4 linked regions of the Drosophila melanogaster genome follow. The protein of the gene in region 3 binds, or shares a complex with, the protein of the main gene of each other region. Each region holds a gene or a part of one and is shown on either strand. Other genes may lie near its edges.

Region 1 (6,836 bases), 130 kb from region 3:
TGCATTTTTATTTCCCACCCAGTCATTTTTGTGCATTCTCAAGTGCTCCTGTCCATGGCTTTAGCTTGTTTTGGGGTTTTTTCCCTGGTTTTTCATTAGCTTGGGAGTTTCCGTCTTGTGGAAACTCAGTGTGCAGCATGAAAAGGGTGTTGTCCAAATCCCCGAATAAAACATGAGCTCAAGATTCTGATTACGACTGTAACCTTTATGTCTGCTCCTCCTAAATTGAAATGAAAAACACGCAGAATTTATAGTGCATGGAAAGAAACTATTCAATTTATTCGCAAAAGAGTTTTGTAGTAAGCGGACATTAATTTTACAATATGCTCCATTATATTAAAATATCCATAGGAATTAAAATATTTTCAAATTGAGAGAAGGCAAATTATTAAAAATATAATATTATCGAATAAGAAATACTTTATTTCAGGAAAATATTTATCTAAATATAAAGCCATTTTTTCTGTGTAATGGATGATGACGAATTGAATGAAAAAGAAGTGCATCGGTTTTATCAATAAAAACTAAATTAAAATGGAGGCAGGAACGTGGGAGTAGTTATTAGGAATTATTCATTGAAATTGCGTAACTCAACATTTGTATTCAATCAACAGGAAATCTATGCTCGAGCAAGGGCAGAAATCGCATTTAAATGGAAATTTCTATAGTCTGTTTCGAGCATCGGTTTTGAAAATATCCAACCCATATATAGGATTTATGGGGCCGCACAAGCCGTAACAATCCAACGGAAAACGGAAGCAAAATAAACAGCACAAAAGCGTAACGGAAACAGAAACAGAACCCCAGGAAAAAGGGGCCCGTTTTTGCCGATTTGGATGTATGTAAATGCATATAAGCTTTTGCACCCACACACAATTTACGATTGCAGCTGCAGTTTCGGAGGAGTCAAGGAGCAGAAACCCGTACTATTTCACGGACCCTTTACGGATTCAAATGTCGATAGGCGGACAGGGAATTTATGGAGCTCTCATCAATTTCTCCGGATAATAAAGCCGCCATATGCACTCTCGAATGTCAGCTGTCGAAAAGCCAGGAAAAGGGCGATTACGCGAGATTAACCGATCAATTTTTAATTTGCCATTTCCGAGACCGCAGATACACACATCTCCATCAATCTGCAGTTATTATTTATTATGCTTACATTTGCGTTAAAGTGTTTTCCGTGTTACTCGTGTTTTCAAGCGATTCCGGGCGTCGCATCTCATTTAGGATGCCACTTAAACAGGATGTGGATGGGCAGAGCACATGCCACGCACACACCGCACACTTGGGCCAAATTTTGTTTACACCGCCAAGACACAACACAACACACAAGAATTCAAATGAATGAATTTATTGAATTCTTTTTAGCGGGCCGCAAAAGCACTTGAGACTCTATCGCCGGATATTGGCATCAACGCTGCCAAATCGCCGAGTACATCCGAAAAATTGAGTTTTTGAACTTGAACTGTCCGTCGGCGCGGAGGAGAGAACGCATGCGACTTGTTGGCGCGCGCGAAAACGTTTGGCTTGGTTTTGCTTTGGCCTTTCCTTGGCTGCCTGGCTGCATGTTGGCCGGACCAATTGATCCGGAGATTGGTTGGGGCGCCAGAATGGGAACCCCACTCTGTTTGGCTAAGAAATGCCGGCACTTTTGCACGCAAGCGCAGCAACATGTTGCTGGCAACTTCAAATGTTGCAGGTCACCAATGCAACATCTATGTAAGCATTGATCACTGATTATCTTTTTAACATTATTTTGAATAGTTACTTAAATGGCCACTATTTCATTTTGATGATATATTTGCTATGTAATTTAATGGATTTATTTTAAATGTACCGCCCAACCGGTTACTTGATATCGATATATCTCGAGAAGTGCCGGCATTTCGTTATCGATGAGTACGCGCTCGCATTCAGTCAAAACAGTGACTCCCTTAGAGATGGGATAGATTTCGGTAACTGTTGGTCCGCCACATAAAAAAACAAATGTTCTGTTACATTTAAAAAAATGTTTAAAACGCTCTCCTTACGAATATTAGTAGAGAGTAATCATTTCTCAACATGACAGTTATTATTAATACATAAATCAAACGCCCCGCCCCGTGACTTTGAGCAATATATATCGCCAACGAAAACACATGCAACCATCGCCCATCTCTAGTCTCTCTTTTTGATGTCTTGTGCATTCGACATCGTTTAGTTTTGCTGTAAAATAGTAAGTTTATTGTGAAATATCAAACGCCAGGTGGTAGTAAACACTTAAAAAGCAAGGCAGTGAACCGATTTCTGCCAGGGCTTCGAATGAAACAACCAAATGTCATGCGGAAATATTTGGCATACGTTTTTGCAAAACGCCATGTTGGCCGCTCAAACATAACCTCAACAAAGCAAAATCTTATGTGGCCCGAAACTAATAAATTGTGATTCCAGGCGCAGACAAACGGCCGCGTAGAAAGTCAACAAAGATGTCGCGTTTCTTTGCCAACGGGTCCGAATCGGAGTCCGAGTCCAGCGAGGAGGAGATCCAAGCGACCAACTTCAACAAAGCCAGCGCCTTCGTAAGTGCCGCCCAGATGTGAAACTCATCCATTACTAATCTATTCCTTTCCGTGGAAAACAGCAATTCAGCGACGATGAGGAGGAGGTCAAGCGCGTGGTCCGCTCCACGAAGGAGAAGCGTTACGAGAACCTCACCAGCATCATCAAAACCATTCGCAACCACAAGAAAATCAAGGATATTCCCAATACCCTGAGCAGCTTCGAGGATCTGACGCGCGCCTACCAGAAGGCACTGCCGGTCATCTCAAAGGAGGAGAACGGCATTACGCCGCGATTTTACATTCGCTGCCTGGCCGAGCTGGAGGACTTCATCAACGAGGTGTGGGAGGATCGCGAGGGCAGGAAAAACCTTTCCAAGAACAACTCCAAGTCGCTGGGCACTTTGCGCCAGAAGGTACGCAAGTACATCAAGGACTTCGAGGACGATCTGTCGCGTTTCCGTGAAGCACCCGACCAGGAGAGCGAGGCCGAGGACGAGGTGGTTGCCCTGGAGAGCGACGGCGGCGATGCTGGTGATGACAGCGACGCCGGAGTGAAGCCTACAGAAGCGGTTCCGAAAGCTGTGAAGTCCGCGCCGGCAAAGGCTGCGCCCGCCGATGATGACGATTCCGATGACTCCATTGATTGGGACTCGGACTCTGAATCGGAGACCGAGTCCTCTGACGATGAGAACCAGTATCAGAACATGCGCGAGCGATTCTTGAAGCGTACTACCGAAAAGGAGGAAAAGGATGATGACAAGAGGAAGGACAAGCGTAAGGAGCAGAAGACCAAGATCCGCAAGCGCGCCGAGGACGATGAAGATGGCGAGTGGGAGACTGTGGTCAAGGGTCATGTAGTAGAGAAGCCCAAGATGTTCGAAAAGGACGCAGAGATCGATGTTCCCCTAGTGCTGGCCAAGCTGTTGGAAATTATGTCGGCTCGCGGCAAGAAGCGCACCGATCGCCGTCTGCAGATCGATCTGCTTTTCGAGTTGAGGGACATCTCTGATCAGCACAACCTGGGAACCGCCGTCTCCGTGAAGATTCATTTTAACATCATCTCGGCTATCTACGATTACAACCAGAAGATTTCCGAGCCCATGAAGCTAGAACACTGGGCCCTGCTTCTGGAGGTAATGCAGAGCATGATGAAGCTCCTGCTGGCCAACGCCGACATTATTATGAGCGAGAGCGTGGCCGAGGAGCATGAGGAGTACGCTACGTCACCGTTTTATGTGAGGGGATGCCCACTGGCTGCCGTGGAGCGCCTGGATGACGAATTTGTTAAGCTGCTGAAGGAATGCGATCCACACTCCAACGACTACGTGTCCCGGCTGAAGGACGAGGTGAACGTGGTTAAGACTATTGAACTGGTGCTGCAGTATTTCGAGCGCTCTGGCACCAACAACGAGCGCTGTCGCATCTACCTGCGCAAGATCGAACATCTCTACTATAAGTTCGATCCGGAGGTGCTGAAGAAGAAGCGCGGTGAGCTGCCAGCCACTACCTCCACCTCCGTAGACGTGATGGATAAGCTGTGCAAATTCATCTACGCTAAGGACGATACGGATCGTATCCGTACGAGGGCCATCCTGGCGCACATCTACCATCATGCTATGCACGACAACTGGTTCCAGGCCCGTGATTTGGTGCTGATGTCTCATCTGCAGGACAACATTGATGCCGCCGATCCCGCCACCCGCATCCTGTACAACCGTATGATGGCCAATCTGGGTCTGTGTGCCTTCCGCCAGGGCAACGTCAAGGATGCGCATCACTGTCTAGTGGACTTGATGGTCACCGGCAAGCCCAAGGAGCTGCTCGCTCAAGGACTGCTGCCTCAGCGCCAGCACGAGCGATCTGCCGAGCAGGAGAAAATCGAGAAGCAACGCCAGATGCCATTCCATATGCACATCAACCTTGAGTTGCTTGAATGTGTCTACCTGGTGTCCGCTATGCTGCTCGAAATTCCTTACATTGCCGCCCATGAATTCGACGCCCGCCGCCGCATGATCAGTAAGACCTTCTACCAGCAGTTGCGTTCCTCGGAGCGTCAATCACTGGTGGGTCCACCAGAGTCGATGCGTGAGCATGTCGTGGCTGCTGCCAAGGCTATGCGTTGCGGCAACTGGCAGGCGTGTGCCAACTTCATTGTCAACAAGAAGATGAACACGAAAGTGTGGGACCTCTTCTACGAGTCTGATCGCGTGCGCGAGATGCTGACCAAGTTCATTAAGGAAGAATCGCTGCGCACCTACCTGTTCACCTACTCGAACGTCTACACCTCGATCAGCATTCCTTCGCTGGCGCAGATGTACGAGCTGCCCGTGCCGAAAGTGCACTCCATCATCAGTAAGATGATCATCAACGAGGAGCTCATGGCCAGCCTGGACGATCCATCCGAAACCGTGGGTATGCATCGTTCGGAGCCATCGCGTCTTCAGGCCCTGGCCATGCAATTCGTGGACAAGGTCACAAATCTGGTGGACGTCAACGAAAAGGTGTTCGACATGAAGCAGGGCAACTTCTTCCAGCGCGGCAACATGGGCAATCGCGGTGACCGTGGCTACAACCGCAACCAGAACAACCAGGGCGGCAATTGGCTCGGCCAGCGGCGGGATCGCAACAACCGGAACCGTAACCAGCGCGGGCACCACAAGAACAACCAAGATAGGCAGCAGCAGCAACAGCAACAAGTCCAAACGATCGACGAGGAGTAGACGTTGCTGCAACCTCAGCCCATCCTCTCTAGCGAGCGTTAGCTTAAACATCAGCAAAACTTAAACAGATCAAATTTGTAGCACTTCGACTATTAAAATGGAATGGCCATGGACAACACGTTGGGTCACATGCTTTCAGGCCTCCGATTCGGTTTCAGGCTGGGTCGGAGGTCTGTTTTTATCATGTCCATTGCATATTGTTGTAGCCAAGTCACACGAACATTTGTTTCAGCGCTCATTACGTTAAATGATAATACTAATAACTACATTTTGTATGAACCCAAAACCGAAAAAGAAACCTTAAAAACAAGAGACACAAAATCAGTGACTTTTTTTTGCAAATTTTTACCAACAACTAATATTAAATTTATATGTACTAACAAGAGTATTATTTTAGTCGGCTTAACACTTTGGCTTTTGAAAATTTAAGAAAACTAAGAATAACATTTGAATTTCGATGACAAGCTTCGTTTTCTGCAAAACTTCGGATATCGATATGCTCTTTTTTTCTCACATCTCTGAAACCTTTTCTTCAGTAGTACCGTTCGACGTACCTTTGTCACATTTTTTCGGAACTCTATAATAGGCATTATAAATTAAAACCAAAATATACCTAGTAAACAAATGAGCAGCGTTGGCGAGGATTGCAACGAGCTGAAGCAGCAGTACGATGCCTGTTTCAACAGCTGGTTTTCTGAACGCTTCCTAAAAGGTCAAATGGATGACTCAGCGTGTGCTCCGATTTTCCGGGTTTATCAGGAATGCGTCAAGGTGAGCTAATCGGCTCCCTAACCACGTATGGTTTGACCAACCTGTAATCCCCAGCGCGCTATTAAGGAGAAGAAGATCGATTTGCAAGAGATAGATCCGATCTTCGAAACCGGGCTTGAGGAGAATAATGCGAATAGATCTGATGCAAAACAGCAGCAGGCGGGCGAAAGCTGACCCCGTAAGCTGCTCCATATAGCCATCCTAATCCTCGCCAGCGTTAATTGGTGGCTGCACGCGCTACAAAATACTTGTAAAGAGAAACATTTCGTAGTACTTTGACTGTTAATAGTATCATCATGAAACATGGACAACTGATTTCGTTATAACCAGAGTGCCTTTATTAAAATAAATTAGATGTTCTTAAAGAATTGAAAATTCAAATTTCGATAGCACGTTCAGTTTCAACGAAACGTACATCGATATGCTGTGTCCCACATCTCTGATAGCTTATCTGTAGTATGACCCTCACACAAACCATTCTCACATTTTTTTCGACTTATTATTCAATAGAGAAATTATAACTGAAACTCAAAGAGCTTCACTCCACAAATGAACAGCATTGGCGAGGATTGCAATGAGCTAAAGAAGCAGTACGACGCCTGCTTCAACAGCTGGTTCTCGGAAGGCTTCCTTAAGGGCCAGACGGATGACTCGGGCTGCGCGCCGATTTTCCGGGTCTATCAGGAGTGCGTCAAGGTAAGCCCAGGTTTCAAGTTTCATCATCCAGCTGGTTGACCCAATCTTTGACCTTTAGCGCGCCATGAGGGAGCAAAAGATTGAGCTGCGGGAGGTCGGATCTGAG
Region 2 (4,259 bases), on a different chromosome or scaffold from region 3:
TTTCTTCAGGGAGTCCGAGTCAGAGAACTACTCATTTAGCATTCCATTCCCGACATTTCAAAGGCATTTAGTAGATCGCAACTTGTTCACACCCGATAGTCTCTTGTCAGATTTGAAAGAATATCTTAACCCATCCGTGATTAATGGAATTTTCACATCCGAGGATGTAATGGGGAAAATTCAAATTCTCTACCCCATCCATTTTCAGGGTTTCAAGATTAGATTCTGCCAAAGCAAAGTCAAAGACCTTGTTAACGAAGCCGAACAAGAGGAAGAAATACTTAGGACACATAACAGAGCACACAGAAATGCTGTGGAAAATAAAGCTCAGTTGTCCGAAAGAGTATACTTTCCTAAAATGAGGAAAAAAGTTTCGGCTATCGTGAATCAGTGTTTGGTGTGTAAGACTGCTAAATATGACAGACATCCCACGCATCCAGAAATAAGACAAACTCCCTTGCCAGAATACCCCGGACAAATTATTCATATTGACATCTACTCGACAGAACGACATCTGGTGCTCACGGCGATTGATAAATTTTCCAAACTGGCCATGGGAAGAGTTATCAAATCCAAAGCTGTAGAAGACATTAGGAAAGCCCTAAGAGATATCGTGTTTTATTATGGAGTGCCTAAATTAATAGTAATGGACAATGAAAAGTCCCTCAACTCAGCCTCTATCAAATTCATGTTGACAGACCAGCTGGGTATTGAGCTCTACAAAGCACCTCCGTATAAGAGTACAGTAAATGGACAGATAGAAAGATTTCACTCCACACTCTCTGAAATAATGAGATGTTTGAAAGGAGATGGAACACATAGGGGCTTCGAGGAACTTCTCGATAGGGCCATCTATGAATATAACTACACTGTCCATTCTGTCACAAAAAAACGACCTCTAGAGGTGTTCTTCGGCAGGATAGCTACCGTAGCTCCAGAAAAATATGAACAAGCTAGACTGGACAATATAGACCGACTTAGGCAAAAACAGGAAACCGACATAGAATACCACAACCGGACAAGAAAGCCCATAAAAACCTATATCAAAGGGCAAGAAATTTTCGTTAGGGTTAATACAAGATTAGGTTCTAAGTTATCAAGTAGATTTAGGAAGGAACTAGTTAAGGAAGACCGAAGTACCACAATATTAACAGAATCAGGGAAATTAGTACATAAAAGTAACATAAGATCATGATTGCTTCAGAATAATTACTGTGGCCACATCGATAGACAAGTAGAACATAGAAACATTAAACATACTGATTAACGTAACCACGAGAATTAAATTTGAAACGATTCGACTTTGACAGACGAGTTGGCCATAGGTTTGCAGAATTAGATTGGGCTCGTGAAAGAAGAGATTGCGTTGTGAATGCGTTTCTGCGGAGCGAGTTTAAATTGAATGAGACCAGTAGCCTACTTGAAAACAATATACCGATTTCTGCCTTGACGGTCAAATAAATGTTAAAACTTTCACACGTTCTCGCTTTACACAACGGAACTACAATTTGAATGCCATTGAAATCTCCATATTGAATCAGTTAATTCCTTATTTCTTATATTTTAAAACATGATCAGTAAAGGAAACTAATAATAATAAATAAATAATAATTTAATTTGAATAATAATAAAATTTACCAATTAAAGACGAAATGTACGGAATCAATGCCTTCTGCAAAGGTTCCAATGGTCTAAAAATATGTAGATATAAATTCATTAGTAATTTAGTAAAAACCAGAATTTTAATAGAAGCAATCAAGTTGTCAATGCAGAACACATCCGAGTTGCACAAACCTCGAACGCACGCAACAATAAACACCTGGCATTCAAACCATTAATGCTGTGCCCAAACTACCACGAATCACCCCACCAACGATGCGACTCAAAAACATCCCATCCTTATGATGACCGCTCGAGGACAAGCGTCAATTAAGAGGGGAGGAGTTATTGCCCTGCAATTGATTCTCTAACATCTTGTGGTTCCACATAGTCTCCGCTGCCATCAACGCCAACGAACGGTTAAGCGCGACATCGACACTTCTGCGCTGCGCCGCGGCCGACGCCTGCTGCGCCGCTGCCGACGACTTCACTTGATTGCTAGGGACTTAGGGAAACATTTTGTACGCTAGATTTAGTTTCAAATGATAAATTGCAATAAACGGTCGCTTGCGATCTTCAAAATCAAATCGATAACTTATTAACTTATATGTAACGAAATTTCAAATGGTATATTCCAAAAAGTGCAAAGTGGTATTAGCGGTATATTTTTTGGACACACACGGCATATTTTTGTGACCGCGGCAGGGTAACACTCTTTTGTTGCTGATTAAAAATCCGCTTAACTCGTGGCGAAATTTGCATTTACGATTTCGCATACAAATCGCGTTGAAAATCAGAGTGAGTGCACCCCAAGCAAGCGCCCAGTGTAGCCCCACTCACTGCGCCCTCAATTCCTTTCAGATGCCGGGCGTTGAAACGATCAAATCCTCCTGGGCGGACGAGGTGGAGCTCGACTATGGTGGACTACCTCCGACGACGGAGACGGTGGAGAACGGACAGAAGTACGTGACGGAGTACAAGTACAACAAGGACGACAAGAAGACGAAGGTGGTGCGCACGTACAAGATATCCAAGCAGGTGGTGCCCAAGACGGTGGCCAAGCGACGCACCTGGACGAAGTTCGGCGACTCGAAGAACGACAAGCCCGGCCCCAACTCGCAGACGACCATGGTGTCCGAGGAGATCATCATGCAGTTCCTCAACTCCAAGGAGGACGAGAAGGCCAACGATCCGCTGCTAGATCCCACCAAGAATATTGCCAAGTGCCGTATCTGCAACGGTGAGCATTGGTCGGTCAACTGCCCGTACAAGGGCACGGCGATGGACACGAATATGATGGAGAAGAAGGCTTCGGCAGCCGCCGCGGCCGCCGTCGATGCGCCCAAGTCCGGCAAGTATGTGCCGCCGTTCCTCAAGGACAGCCAAAAGGGCGCGCTGGGAATGCGCGGACGCGACGACACGGCCGCCATTAGGATATCGAATCTGTCGGAGTCGATGACCGAGGCGGATCTCGAGGAGCTGGTGAAGAAGATTGGACCGCAGAGCAAGATGTATCTCGCCCGCGACAAGAACACCGGACTCTGCAAGGGATTCGCCTACGTGCACTTCAAGCAGCGCAAGGATGCGGCCGCCGCCATCGAGATCCTCAATGGACACGGCTACGACCACTTGATCCTCAGCGTCGAATGGTCGAAACCCCAGAACAATTAGTTAGTCCCGTTCCCACTACCCGCGTTTACTGCTCATAGGAGTCCGTTCGAGTCGATCACACAATTTGTCCCTATGCTATGCTAAGTTTGCTACAAATAAATCTTAAAACAGCCCCCATGGGCACCGAAAACCAGATGACTATGCTCTGCAAGGATACAATGGCATCTAGAATCGTATATTTTTCATATTTGATATAACTTAATCGCTCTTCTTTAGTTTTGCGGACCAACCAACACAAATGCTTTCGACTTTTGCTCTAATATAGCTTTCTCCCTCGTTTTAAAGGACGCAAGGCCACCAAATCGTAGACACTGGGAACAACATATAAAAGAAATATTTTTTATTTGTTACTTAAAAAACTTGAATATGATTTGTTAAGTGTATTTTTTAACGACATGCAGCTACCCACATATGGTTAACAAGTTAACCTTACGCGGTGCCCACTGTAGAAAGCATGATTCCAGCCGATCTGGCAACGCCATCGTTTGCATGCGAATAAACACCATGGTGTTGTTGTTTTTGTGTTTGCCAGCGATTTGCGTAAATTGTGTTTGTTTTTGTGGCCAAAAATAGAAATCAGATGCCGCAAAATATTCAAAAAGCATTCGAAACAATATTTTTGATCTTCAGGTGTGCGCTCATTTTCAGTCGTCAGTGAGACGGGCCCCCAGGCGAAAGTCTTTGTTGTTGCTCCGTTCGAGCGAAATGGCCACCGCCACCGTTGGTTCATCCAGATCCGCAACCACATCCGCAACCGCATCCGCATGCTCATCCAAATCCAAGAACCTAAAGAATCCGGCGCCGCAAATAAAAAGGGGACAGCGGATCCTCACGGAGAAACCATTCGCCTTCGTCTTGAAATCACAGTACCGCCTGGAGCGGTGCGATAACTGCCTGGAGGCGTAAGTTTCGCCATGTGGCTGCCTTTGTGAGCTATCTAATTTGGGTTCGTCGTTGCAGGACCAAGGTGCTGAAGTGCTCCAACTGCA
Region 3 (5,744 bases):
TATTTAGCGATTAGGTCATGCAACAGCGGCCAGCTCAAAGCGAGAAAAACGATAACAAATGCCTAATCTTGCAGGGGTAAAGCGTATTTTCCGGCTTCGATTTTTCAGCTGCAGTTTTATGAATGGATGTTGGCTGCTGGCATTATATTCCGATCAGCACAAGCACACCCCACACAACTACCGGTTGTAGTTGTTTGCATTGGCCATCGAAACCAGTCGATTGGTAAGTAGGTGTCGGTCGCATACTAAGCGCTAAGTTGCCGAGCGGCATTACCTCAGCGCACCATTTTGGCCAAGAGAGTAGGTGTTTAGGCCCGCTTCGCCTCCGTTGGAATGTTAATGAGTGCTTTTTGTTTTTAGCTCAAATATGAGTTTATTTTATGTGTAACTTTGTACACGGGAAGCCCTCTTGCTGCGCTTACCTGTCGTATTTCCTGTGTTTCGACATCCATGCTGACGGATTTTCCTGCGACGGACTCCGGCTCTCCGACGCCCGCCACTTCACTTTCCGCACTTTTTGCACTTTTCGCACTCTATGTTTGACCACAACACACCGCTTTTCCTTTTTCACTTGTCTCTTTTCTGCGTGCGAGCGAGTGCGTGTGTGTGTGAGTGTGGCTTGGAGTTTTCCTCAGCTTAGGTGATTTTCACTTGGAGCCTAAACACAAGAAAATACAAAAACACGATTGGCACTTTGTCAAACCACTTGGAAATCGAGAAAAATAACTAATTGCGCACACGCATTGTCAGCGAATTTTTTTCGGCGGGCGGGGCAGGGAAAAAGCTTAAAAGGCAGGCGGGCAGCCGAAAGAAAATGTGAATCATTCACGGAGCGCGACGGTGGGTGGTGGGCGGGGGCGGGGCTGCAGTGCGACAATAACAGAGAACACTTTACAGTTGCCTGTTCGCTTTTCTCGAGATGCTGCTGCATCAGCTGTTGCGATTTGCTCGTCTGGACAAGCCATTTACGCACTTTTCAACCCATCGCAGTGTTCAACCGCCCGTCCATGGTATAATTAATGTTTTCCCAATCCGTTTTAAGCCAGCAAGTTTCCAATTTTCTTTGGGGAACCGCCGACTTAAGTAAATGAAAACATTTTCCTTCGCCTCGCACTGTTGTTGTCCGCCGCCCGCTGTTTGCCTCTCTGTCGCTCCCGCTGCACTGGCAGTGCTGGTGTGCGACACTGCTAGTGTGGTACTGCTCGCACCCACAGCGAACGAGTGGTGACCGAAAAAGCTGTGTATGTGCGCGCGGGTGTGTGTGCGAGAGTGAGTGTGGGGCCTACGCACATTTGGGATGTTTTTCGCACTGATTTGCTGCACCGACGACTTTCGCATGCATTTCACACGGTTCGCGCTCGTCCCCGCTGCATTTTTCAACAGCTTTAATACTACAAATTGGGCTTAAATTGAGAAAATCACGGACACCGATCTGCTCTAAAATCTTACAAATTTTCATGTGAGAGATGGAACCCCAGCCGATGATTACTCGATGCAATCGGTTTTGGCTTATCGGCAACAAATCGATTGATGCCTAATTCTAAAAAATCGGTTGAACATGCTTCAAAACTTCCATCGCTAGAGTTGCAAGCGGAAAAAATGTATGTATTATTAAAGAACGATTAAACTAGTTGTTATAGGTTATACTTTGCTTAATACATATTGACTAATATTAAATAATTGTATGTACATGAAATACAAAATGATAATATTTAGCCGTTTTAACACATTATCACCAGATAAGCACCTAAGATTCTGTTGTTAAGGATCCATAAGAGAAGGATCCAGATATTATTGTCATTGCTGTCAAGCAAACATATGCAGTATAAATACAAATAAATCTAAGAAACAGTAAATTAAAATATATGCATGTACATATGTATTTATAAATATTAATAAAAGTTACCCCGCCGCGTTATCAACGCAGTGAGTAGTTGGCAACACTAACCATTCACACAAAACAGTGTTTCGCCTTGACTGGCAAATGCGGCATCTCGCTCTTCCTTTTTCACTTTGTGCTTGTGTGTTTAATGACGGAAAATTGCAAATAGATCGCTGAATATGGCCAAGAAGAAAAGCGAGGAGCACTCCGGTACGGATGCGAACGACAGTGATTACCAGGAGGAGCCGAACTTTGACGATCCGCCCGGGTTCGTGGACAACATTAGTGATGAAGGTGAAAATCACCGACTGCCAGCGCATCACACGCGGCGATCTAACCTCAATCCGTGTGCGGTGTGCGAAAGTTTGCATTTGCATATCTAATTAAATATATTCGTGATGCACTTTCAGATCTGCTGGGCGACATGTTGGCCCAGCGCCCCTCGGAGGCCGATGGCGTCGAGAGTGTGGTGGTAGTGGACAATATCCCAAAGGTGGAGCCGGTGCGCCTGGAGAAGCTGAAGTTGGTCATCAACAAGCTGTTTTCGAACTACGGAGAAATCGTCAATGTGGTCTATCCCGTCGACGAGGAGGGCAAGACCAAGGGCTACGCCTTCATGGAGTACAAGCAGGCCAGACAGGCGGAGGAAGCCGTCAAGAAGCTCAACAATCATCGCCTAGACAAAAACCACACCTTTGCCGTCAATCTCTTCACCGATTTCCAAAAGTAAGTTCTCCTTGCATCCGCATCAAGCAATGAGATTAATAAAATTTAATCTTGGCAGGTACGAAAACATCCCCGAGAAGTGGGAGCCGCCAACCGTGCAGACCTTCAAAGTGCAGAGCGATCTATACAACTTCATCAATGACCCGGACACTTATGACCAGTACTGCGTGGCAGCGGAGACCGCTCCCAACTGCGTGCAGGTTGGTTTCTGGCAAAACGTATTGCCCGAACCCTTTGAGCTGGAGACTCGCGAACGCTTCACCGACACCTTCGTCAAGTGGTCGCCCCTGGGTACTTATGTAGTCACCTTCCACAAACCCGGTGTGGCCATCTGGGGTGGCAGTAGCTTCCAGAAGATTCAGAAGTTTCCCCATCCTGGTACCCAATTCGTTGAGTTTTCGCCCTGCGAGAATTACCTAGTGACTTACGGACCGACACCCACGGGCCAAAAGATCATCATCTGGGACATTCGCACTGGAGCCGAGAAACGTTCGTTTGTTGCCGATGGCATGTCGGTTCTTTCTATGTTCCGCTGGTCGCACGACGACAAGTTTGTGGCCCGCATGGGCGAGAATTCGATCCACATCTACGAGACACCCTCTTTCTATCTTCTGGACCTGAAGTCCATTAAGATTCCCGGCATTCGTGGCTTCTCTTGGTCCCCCACAGACAACGTGATTGCCTACTGGGTGGAGGAGCAGAACCAAATACCCGCCCGCGTTACCCTGATGGAGATCCCCAAGAAGCGTGAGATCCGTAACAAGAACCTTTTCCATGTGGCCGATTGCAAGTTACATTGGCAAAAGTCCGGCGACTATCTGTGCGTTAAGGTAGATCGTTACTCAAAGTTGAAGAAGGATAAGAAGGACCTGGACGTCAAGTTTCTGGGCATGTTCTACAACTTTGAGATCTTCCACATGCGCGAGAAGGAGATTCCCGTCGACTCTGTGGAGATTCGTGAGCTTATTTTGGCCTTTGCCTGGGAGCCCGTCGGCAACAAGTTCTCCATCATTCACGGCGAGACCAACTCGTCGAATGTGAGCTTCTACGAGGTGAACAAGGGCGTTAAGCCCAGCTTGGTGAAGCGTCTAGAAAAGAAGTCATGCACACATCTGTTCTGGTCGCCACGCGGTCAGTTTATCGTAATGGCCAACCTCACCATGGGTACCTTCGAGTTTGTGGACTCCACCAACGATTACATCATCACGGCATCGCCCGATCATTTCCGCGCTTCCGAGGTCGAGTGGGATCCCACTGGACGCTACGTTGTGACTGGTGTCTCGTCATGGAAGGTGAAAGAGGATACCGGCTTCAACATGTACACGTTCCAGGGCCGCATCATCAAGCGTACCATTCTTAAGAACTTTGTGCAGTTCTTGTGGCGCCCGCGTCCTCCCACCCTGCTTAGCGAGGAGAAGCAGAAGGAGATCAAGAAGAACTTGAAGAAGTACTACGCTGCCTTCGAACAAAAGGATCGCCTGCGCCTTACCCGTGCCTCCAAGGAGCTGCTCGAGAAGCGCTCGCAGCTGCGCGAGACCTTTATGGAGTACCGCAACAAGCGTATTGCCGAGTGGGCGGAGCAGAAGAGTCGTCGCATCATGCTGCGAGGGCGTAAGTATTCTCAAGAAACAAATTGTTTAAAATTTGCCGATTTCTATATGTATATTATCCTTACGCAACAGATGTGGACACAGACAACCTGGAAACTGACGAAGTGGATGAAGAAATTGTTGAATTTTTAGTCAAGGAAGAAGTCACTCTGCTGGAGTAGACGACCCCCTCAACGCCACTCCAACGCTGTCGTCCCCTGCCTACTTCGAAGCGATCCTGTCGCCTCACATTTCGTGTCCGGGACGCGTCTACGCCCTGGTTGATGCCAGGGCCCTAATCCATTATCCAATACAGTAGCACGCGTCTGCTTGCAAACAACTCTAAGCGGAACCTTTGCCTATACATACAACATACGAACATACGAATTATAAGCCCAAAAGTAAACTTCAACTCAATCAGCAATTGCGAACATAACATCTAATTAAATGACCTTTCTTGCGCACACCCCTCCTCCTTCCAGTATGCCTAATAGTAGATTTGCCATGTATTTGTATGTAAACAGCAAAAAGAAAACGAAAACAAAATACGTTTGGGGTATGTTTTTTTGATGTTTCATTCAAGGCGATAGACGATAGATAGCTGGTGGTGAGCAGGTGTGTAACAGTGGTCAAGTCAGTTGCCCATGGCAACCAGTTGAAAGGTCAAAGCAGGCGGAATATTGTTTGCCTGGCATTTTCCGTTTGTAATAACCTATGTAACATGGAAGCCGCTCTATCCAGGAAGACTGCAAAGAAGAAACGCAAGACCCATACCACCAGAGGGTATCGGAAAAGGGAGCAGGAGGTGCAAAAGTTGATAAGGGCAACGGAAGGCAGAATCTCTGGTCCAGAACACGACATGGAGGCACTTAGCCTGCAGTTCTTTCATGGATTTGAGGGTGAGATGCAGCAGGAGAACGATTTCGCTGTTGAAGATTGCCAGGAGAGTGACGAAGATTCGGGTGGGGAACTGGCTGAGGAACCAACGGATTCGCCCTCCCAGACATTTATACATATCGATCTGCACGATCCTCCTCTGGCCTGGGGTCAGCTATTCAAGCAGCGCCACTACTATGATGAGAGCTTACTTTACCGACCGAGTAATACCCTGCACTTTCAGTTGCATTTGAGCGATTTGAGTGAGTTGAAGGACTCCCAGATCCGTATGCTGAACCGCTACCAGGAGCAGTCCAAAAGCAAGTCCGGAAAATTGGGCTCTGATCTGATTGGTCAGCTAAGTGGACAGAAGCCTGCGAGTTTCTTGATGGGGAAACATCTATATCGCAGTGTGTGCCATAGGAGATTTCAGAGCGTGTTCTTCCCTCCCATGCCTCCAAGTGAGTTGAAGGGCCTGCCCTCCAGACGTTGCCTGAAATTGTGCCTCAAACAACTTCGGTTCAGCTTGCATCCTCAACTCTTGGAGGAGCACCGACTGGCCCAACAGCTGGAGGATCTCTTCGATGTGTACAGCCAGCAGAGGAAGCAGAGGATCTGTCGAAAACTGAGGGAGGAACTGGAGATAGCCCGCCAGGTGGCACTCAAGCTGC
Region 4 (4,412 bases), on a different chromosome or scaffold from region 3:
TGTGTAAATCTAATGCTGCTCCGACCTGCGATAGCAAGTACAAACCTATTATGGCATCAAACGTACTGATGGTATCAAGTAAAAAGAATGGGGCCGTTGGGCCAAATATGTGCATTAAGCACCCGTGAATGGAACTCACAGTGAATGGGCAGTCGAAAAGAGTTATGTTTTTTAGCTCCCTTAGGGGCTTTACATATTACATATTAGAATTTTTAAAACTCTCCCAACCAGCCTTCGTTCAGTGAAGGGCAAGCGGGACCTTCCTCTTAAAATTGATACAGTTTGTCAAGAAACTGTTTACACACTGTGAAATAAGTTGAATTTTTGACTTTAAAGCTAAAAATTAAAGGTTTTTTGCTTAATTAAACGCATTTTTTTTATAAAATATAATTAAACAATATTTATTTTACTTATAAATCAAAAAACAAATTAAAAATATTAAATATACAAGAAAAAAAACAACAAATTCCAAGTTTAAACACTTTTGAGACTGTCAAGAAACTCTTTACACAAAACACTAAATCGATGTTTAATCCTAAATTTTTAAATTATTTTATTAAAATTTTAAAAGTTTTGGTATGTAGTATGTTCCCCATTGGCTTTAGCTACAAGTTGAAGCCCTTTTTTCATGGAATGGACAAGTTTTTGCAGGTCATATTCAAACGGGATCTTTTCACACTCTTCGACTATTACAGTCATAAGCTGTTGTCGTGTTTTAGGTCCCTTTTTGCCACCTTCTTCTTTAAGTAGGTCCACAAATTTTAAATGGGGTTCAGATCAGGACTCTGAGGGGGCGTATCGATCACTTTACCACAGTTATAAGGGCGCCAGGTGCGTACATTGCACTCTTTATGTTTCTGATCATGTCCTCTTAAAATATAAAATTTGGCTTGTTGTTGCTAACTAGACCAAATTTTTCTGCACCGGCCTTCAAATTTGTTTTTTAAGATTCCTAGATATTGCACGGCATTTATTGTGCTCTAAATTAAGGCTAGTTTTCCCACTCCATGGCTGGTGATACAGCCACAAACCATCAGTGACATTTTTCCAAATTTTATCGTTGGAATGATATTTTGTTTTTCTAGCGCACTCAGCGGTTTGCGCCATACTCTGCTTGGCCCGTCGTTATAAAAGAGCATAATTTTTGTTTCGTCACCAAATATGACGTCATCCCAGTACTCTTCTGGATGATCCACCTTGTTCACAGCGAATTAATGACGCTTTTCCATATTGGCATCTGATAGCAAAGGATTTTTCCTCGCAACTCTTGAAGAGTATCTATGGCGTAGGATGACTTGGCGCACAGTTTCGTGTGACACAGTTAGGTGACACTCTTGCCTGATATCCAGAGCAAGTGATCTGACCGGGGGTTCGCAATCTCTATTCGCATAATAAAGCGGTCTACACGCTTTTTAATTTTAATTTTCCGCCCACCACCACTCTTAGGTTCAAGCCTGTCCTCTTTTTCCGAGCCTTTTAAAAAATAGTAGACGGTCTTACGGGATACAGAAAACATTTATACTTATTCTGGAAAAGATTTTCCCAACTGGTGGTTATAGTTTATTAATTGGGTAACTTCAAAGTTTATCTCTTTCCAGGCATTTTATTAAATTTAATAATTCGCTTTAAGCACGTTTGATCAGCAAAATTTCACAAGCAAGATTGAGTAGTAGAATGTAACCGACATTTTGTTATTGATCCGTTATGTTAAGAATGAGCAGCGAGCAATGAAATTCACGGAAAGCGTTCCGTTATTGAGTGGGCATCATTTGTGTGGCTGTTGTTGTTGTTGTATAGTTTCTGGAAACGAAGTAAGGATGAAATAATTGAGTGAAGGTGAGGAATAGAAGAAAAGCATCGCGAAGGCGACGCTTGAGTAAATTAGTCTGCTTAGAACGACAGAAGAAACAACACGCAGGCGACTTGATGTGCTGGACAATATGGACGCTGAAGTAAATGAAAAGTCGCGCTTGGCATCTCCGACATATTCAAATTTGAATAGTATTTGATTAACTAACGCTAGCCACCGGTTTTACATCGATAAAACGATAGGCCACGCACGACCGCACCGATAGCTCCAAAAGCCATCAACCCCCACCCGCACTATCGATAGGCCCTTTTCTTGCATCCCTAAAACATACGCGCAGCGTGGCTGAATAGAAATTATTGCGGAAATTTTCCTTGCAAATCTTGGCCACCGAAAATTACCATGTCGGCTCTCAATCTGACCGTGCGCGTGCACCCGGTGGTGCTTTTCCAGGTGGTGGACGCCTTCGAGCGGCGGAACGCGGACTCGCACCGCGTCATCGGCACCCTGCTCGGCTCTGTGGACAAAGGTGTGGTGGAGGTTACCAACTGTTTCTGTGTGCCGCACAAGGAGCACGATGACCAGGTGGAGGCAGAGCTGAGCTACGCCCTGGACATGTACGACCTCAACCGCAAGGTGAACTCCAACGAGAGCGTGGTAGGCTGGTGGGCCACCGGCAACGACGTTACCAACCACAGCTCGGTGATCCACGAGTATTACGCCCGCGAATGCAACAACCCGGTTCACCTCACCGTGGACACTTCGCTGCAGGGCGGACGTATGGGTCTGCGTGCTTATGTCTGCATTCAACTAGGAGTTCCCGGCGGCAAGAGCGGCTGCATGTTCACGCCCATTCCTGTCGAGCTGACCAGCTACGAGCCGGAGACATTTGGGCTCAAGCTGCTTCAGAAGACCGTAGGCGTTTCGCCCGCTCACCGTCCCAAGACCGTTCCGCCAATGCTGGACCTGGCCCAAATCTCGGAGGCCTCCACGAAGCTGCAGTCCCTGCTGGATCTTATTCTCAAGTACGTTGACGACGTGATCGCTCACAAGGTAACCCCCGACAACGCCGTCGGACGCCAGCTGCTAGACCTTATCCACTCCGTGCCGCACATGACCCACGAGCAGTTCACTCAGATGTTCAACGCCAACGTACGCAACCTTCTGCTGGTCATCACGCTCTCCCAGCTCATCAAAACCCAGCTGCAGCTTAACGAAAAGCTCACCTTCCTGCCCACCGCCTAGAACGACGGCGTTTGTTGAAGTGGTAATATCTACTAAGGGTGGCATTGTAAACTGATTGTGTTTTTTATCAATGGGGGTCTACGTAATAAAGTGCTCTGATCGCCAAAAAAAAAAACCAAAACTTGTATCGATTACTCTGGTCAGAATGACATTCCATACTAAAGAAAATATATATGGGATTATCTTTTTTATAACTCAATTGAAGAATCAGCATGAATCCTGTGACACCTACACTAAACGACCATGTGGCGTTTGTAGGAGCATTCGAATCTACTGAAGACTCTTAAACACAACAGTATTCATCACCAGGAACAAAATAAATGCATGTGCAACTGAAAATTTAGCACCCAACTGCTAAAACAAAATGTTGTGTTTCAGTCTTTGGTGAGCTTCACTATTCTATAGGGTTTCAGGGAGTCGCATCGGTGCTGGGTTTATTGTAAGAATAGTAATATTTATATTCTTTAATATCAAACTTTGATGATCGTACCTTCGGCACACAAAAGTTATAATATCAAATTTTGTGACGAAATATGACAACACATTCTATTAAAAACTAGTTTCTTACATTTTATAACCAGCACCTCGTTGCATCATATGCGTTACTTAACTTTCAATTGTTTGGTAGCACCAGGATAAACTTGAGCTACGCCTACACTTTTCTGTGCAATCTGCATCCTTAATCTTCTAGCATTTATAGTTCATGAGATCTTGACGTTCATGCGGACAAACATGGCCAGATCGACTGCGCTGATTCTTGATCCTGGTGAAGAATAAAAGGTACTCTAAAGAGCATAAAAAAACACACTTTTCATATGAAAGAAGGACACAAAGGGGCTCCAAGATTTCCCCGTATGCCTTAATATATAAATTAATTAAAAAAAAAACTTTTCATATGAAAGTTTGTGTGGCCAATTTAAATATATTCGTAATGCATACTTTTGGGCGAAATTTAAATCTCAGAATGCGGAAGTTTTTTTTTTAAATCAATAACATTAGTTACAGTGTTACATTAGCAGATACTGGTTCCTCCCAAAAATTTATGAACTCAGTTGTAAGTTTTTATTAAGCATGTCGAATTGACATCCACTTTGTTAGCATATTTGTCGGAAATGCGACAGGACAGGTAAGTTATACATTTTAGAACAATTTAATTAACAATGATAAGTTCAGAAACGTAAAATGATTGTTTCATCATTGAAGGACTGTATCTCCTAGTCATTGAAGTATTACCACCAACATACCATACACCTTTTAACTTTAAGCGTTCTGCAGATCAAAATATGAAATAGTTCTTCATTGAAATAGTTTATTAAAAAACTAAACTATATCTTCTTTGATGTATTTATACAGAAAAATT

The links.
Region 1: eIF3b (region 3) and eIF3c share a complex: the UniProt entries of both Drosophila melanogaster proteins name them as parts of the eukaryotic translation initiation factor 3 (eIF-3) complex.
Region 2: eIF3b (region 3) and eIF3g1 share a complex: the UniProt entries of both Drosophila melanogaster proteins name them as parts of the eukaryotic translation initiation factor 3 (eIF-3) complex.
Region 4: eIF3b (region 3) and eIF3f1 share a complex: the UniProt entries of both Drosophila melanogaster proteins name them as parts of the eukaryotic translation initiation factor 3 (eIF-3) complex.

The regions. Positions count from the first base shown.
Region 1 is NT_033778.4:17,663,599-17,670,434, forward strand, and holds eIF3c (eukaryotic translation initiation factor 3 subunit c), read left to right. Parts: upstream 1-2,079; 5' UTR 2,080-2,218; intron 2,219-2,433; 5' UTR 2,434-2,468; coding exon 2,469-2,561; intron 2,562-2,623; coding exon 2,624-5,263; 3' UTR 5,264-5,387; exon of another isoform or gene 5,388-5,433; 3' UTR 5,434-5,677; downstream 5,678-6,836. Other genes in the region: CG30108 (uncharacterized protein), read left to right, coding at 5,888-6,034, 6,089-6,208; CG30109 (uncharacterized protein), read left to right, coding at 6,584-6,730, 6,789-6,836. UniProt on the Drosophila melanogaster protein: Component of the eukaryotic translation initiation factor 3 (eIF-3) complex, which is involved in protein synthesis of a specialized repertoire of mRNAs and, together with other initiation factors, stimulates binding of mRNA and methionyl-tRNAi to the 40S ribosome.
Region 2 is NC_004354.4:2,608,384-2,612,642, reverse strand, and holds eIF3g1 (eukaryotic translation initiation factor 3 subunit g1), read left to right. Parts: upstream 1-2,306; 5' UTR 2,307-2,397; intron 2,398-2,460; coding exon 2,461-3,270; 3' UTR 3,271-3,396; downstream 3,397-4,259. Other genes in the region: Smyd3 (SET and MYND domain containing, class 3), read left to right, coding at 3,976-4,172, 4,231-4,259. UniProt on the Drosophila melanogaster protein: RNA-binding component of the eukaryotic translation initiation factor 3 (eIF-3) complex, which is involved in protein synthesis of a specialized repertoire of mRNAs and, together with other initiation factors, stimulates binding of mRNA and methionyl-tRNAi to the 40S ribosome.
Region 3 is NT_033778.4:17,534,404-17,540,147, forward strand, and holds eIF3b (eukaryotic translation initiation factor 3 subunit b), read left to right. Parts: upstream 1-1,809; 5' UTR 1,810-1,926; intron 1,927-1,929; exon of another isoform or gene 1,930-2,051; 5' UTR 2,052-2,061; coding exon 2,062-2,176; intron 2,177-2,292; coding exon 2,293-2,608; intron 2,609-2,666; coding exon 2,667-4,219; intron 4,220-4,290; coding exon 4,291-4,379; 3' UTR 4,380-4,660; downstream 4,661-5,744. Other genes in the region: patronin, read right to left, coding at 423-452; Cc2d2a (Coiled-coil and C2 domain containing 2A), read left to right, coding at 4,919-5,744. UniProt on the Drosophila melanogaster protein: RNA-binding component of the eukaryotic translation initiation factor 3 (eIF-3) complex, which is involved in protein synthesis of a specialized repertoire of mRNAs and, together with other initiation factors, stimulates binding of mRNA and methionyl-tRNAi to the 40S ribosome.
Region 4 is NT_033777.3:4,711,883-4,716,294, reverse strand, and holds eIF3f1 (eukaryotic translation initiation factor 3 subunit f1), read left to right. Parts: upstream 1-2,112; 5' UTR 2,113-2,209; coding exon 2,210-3,052; 3' UTR 3,053-3,413; downstream 3,414-4,412. UniProt on the Drosophila melanogaster protein: Component of the eukaryotic translation initiation factor 3 (eIF-3) complex, which is involved in protein synthesis of a specialized repertoire of mRNAs and, together with other initiation factors, stimulates binding of mRNA and methionyl-tRNAi to the 40S ribosome.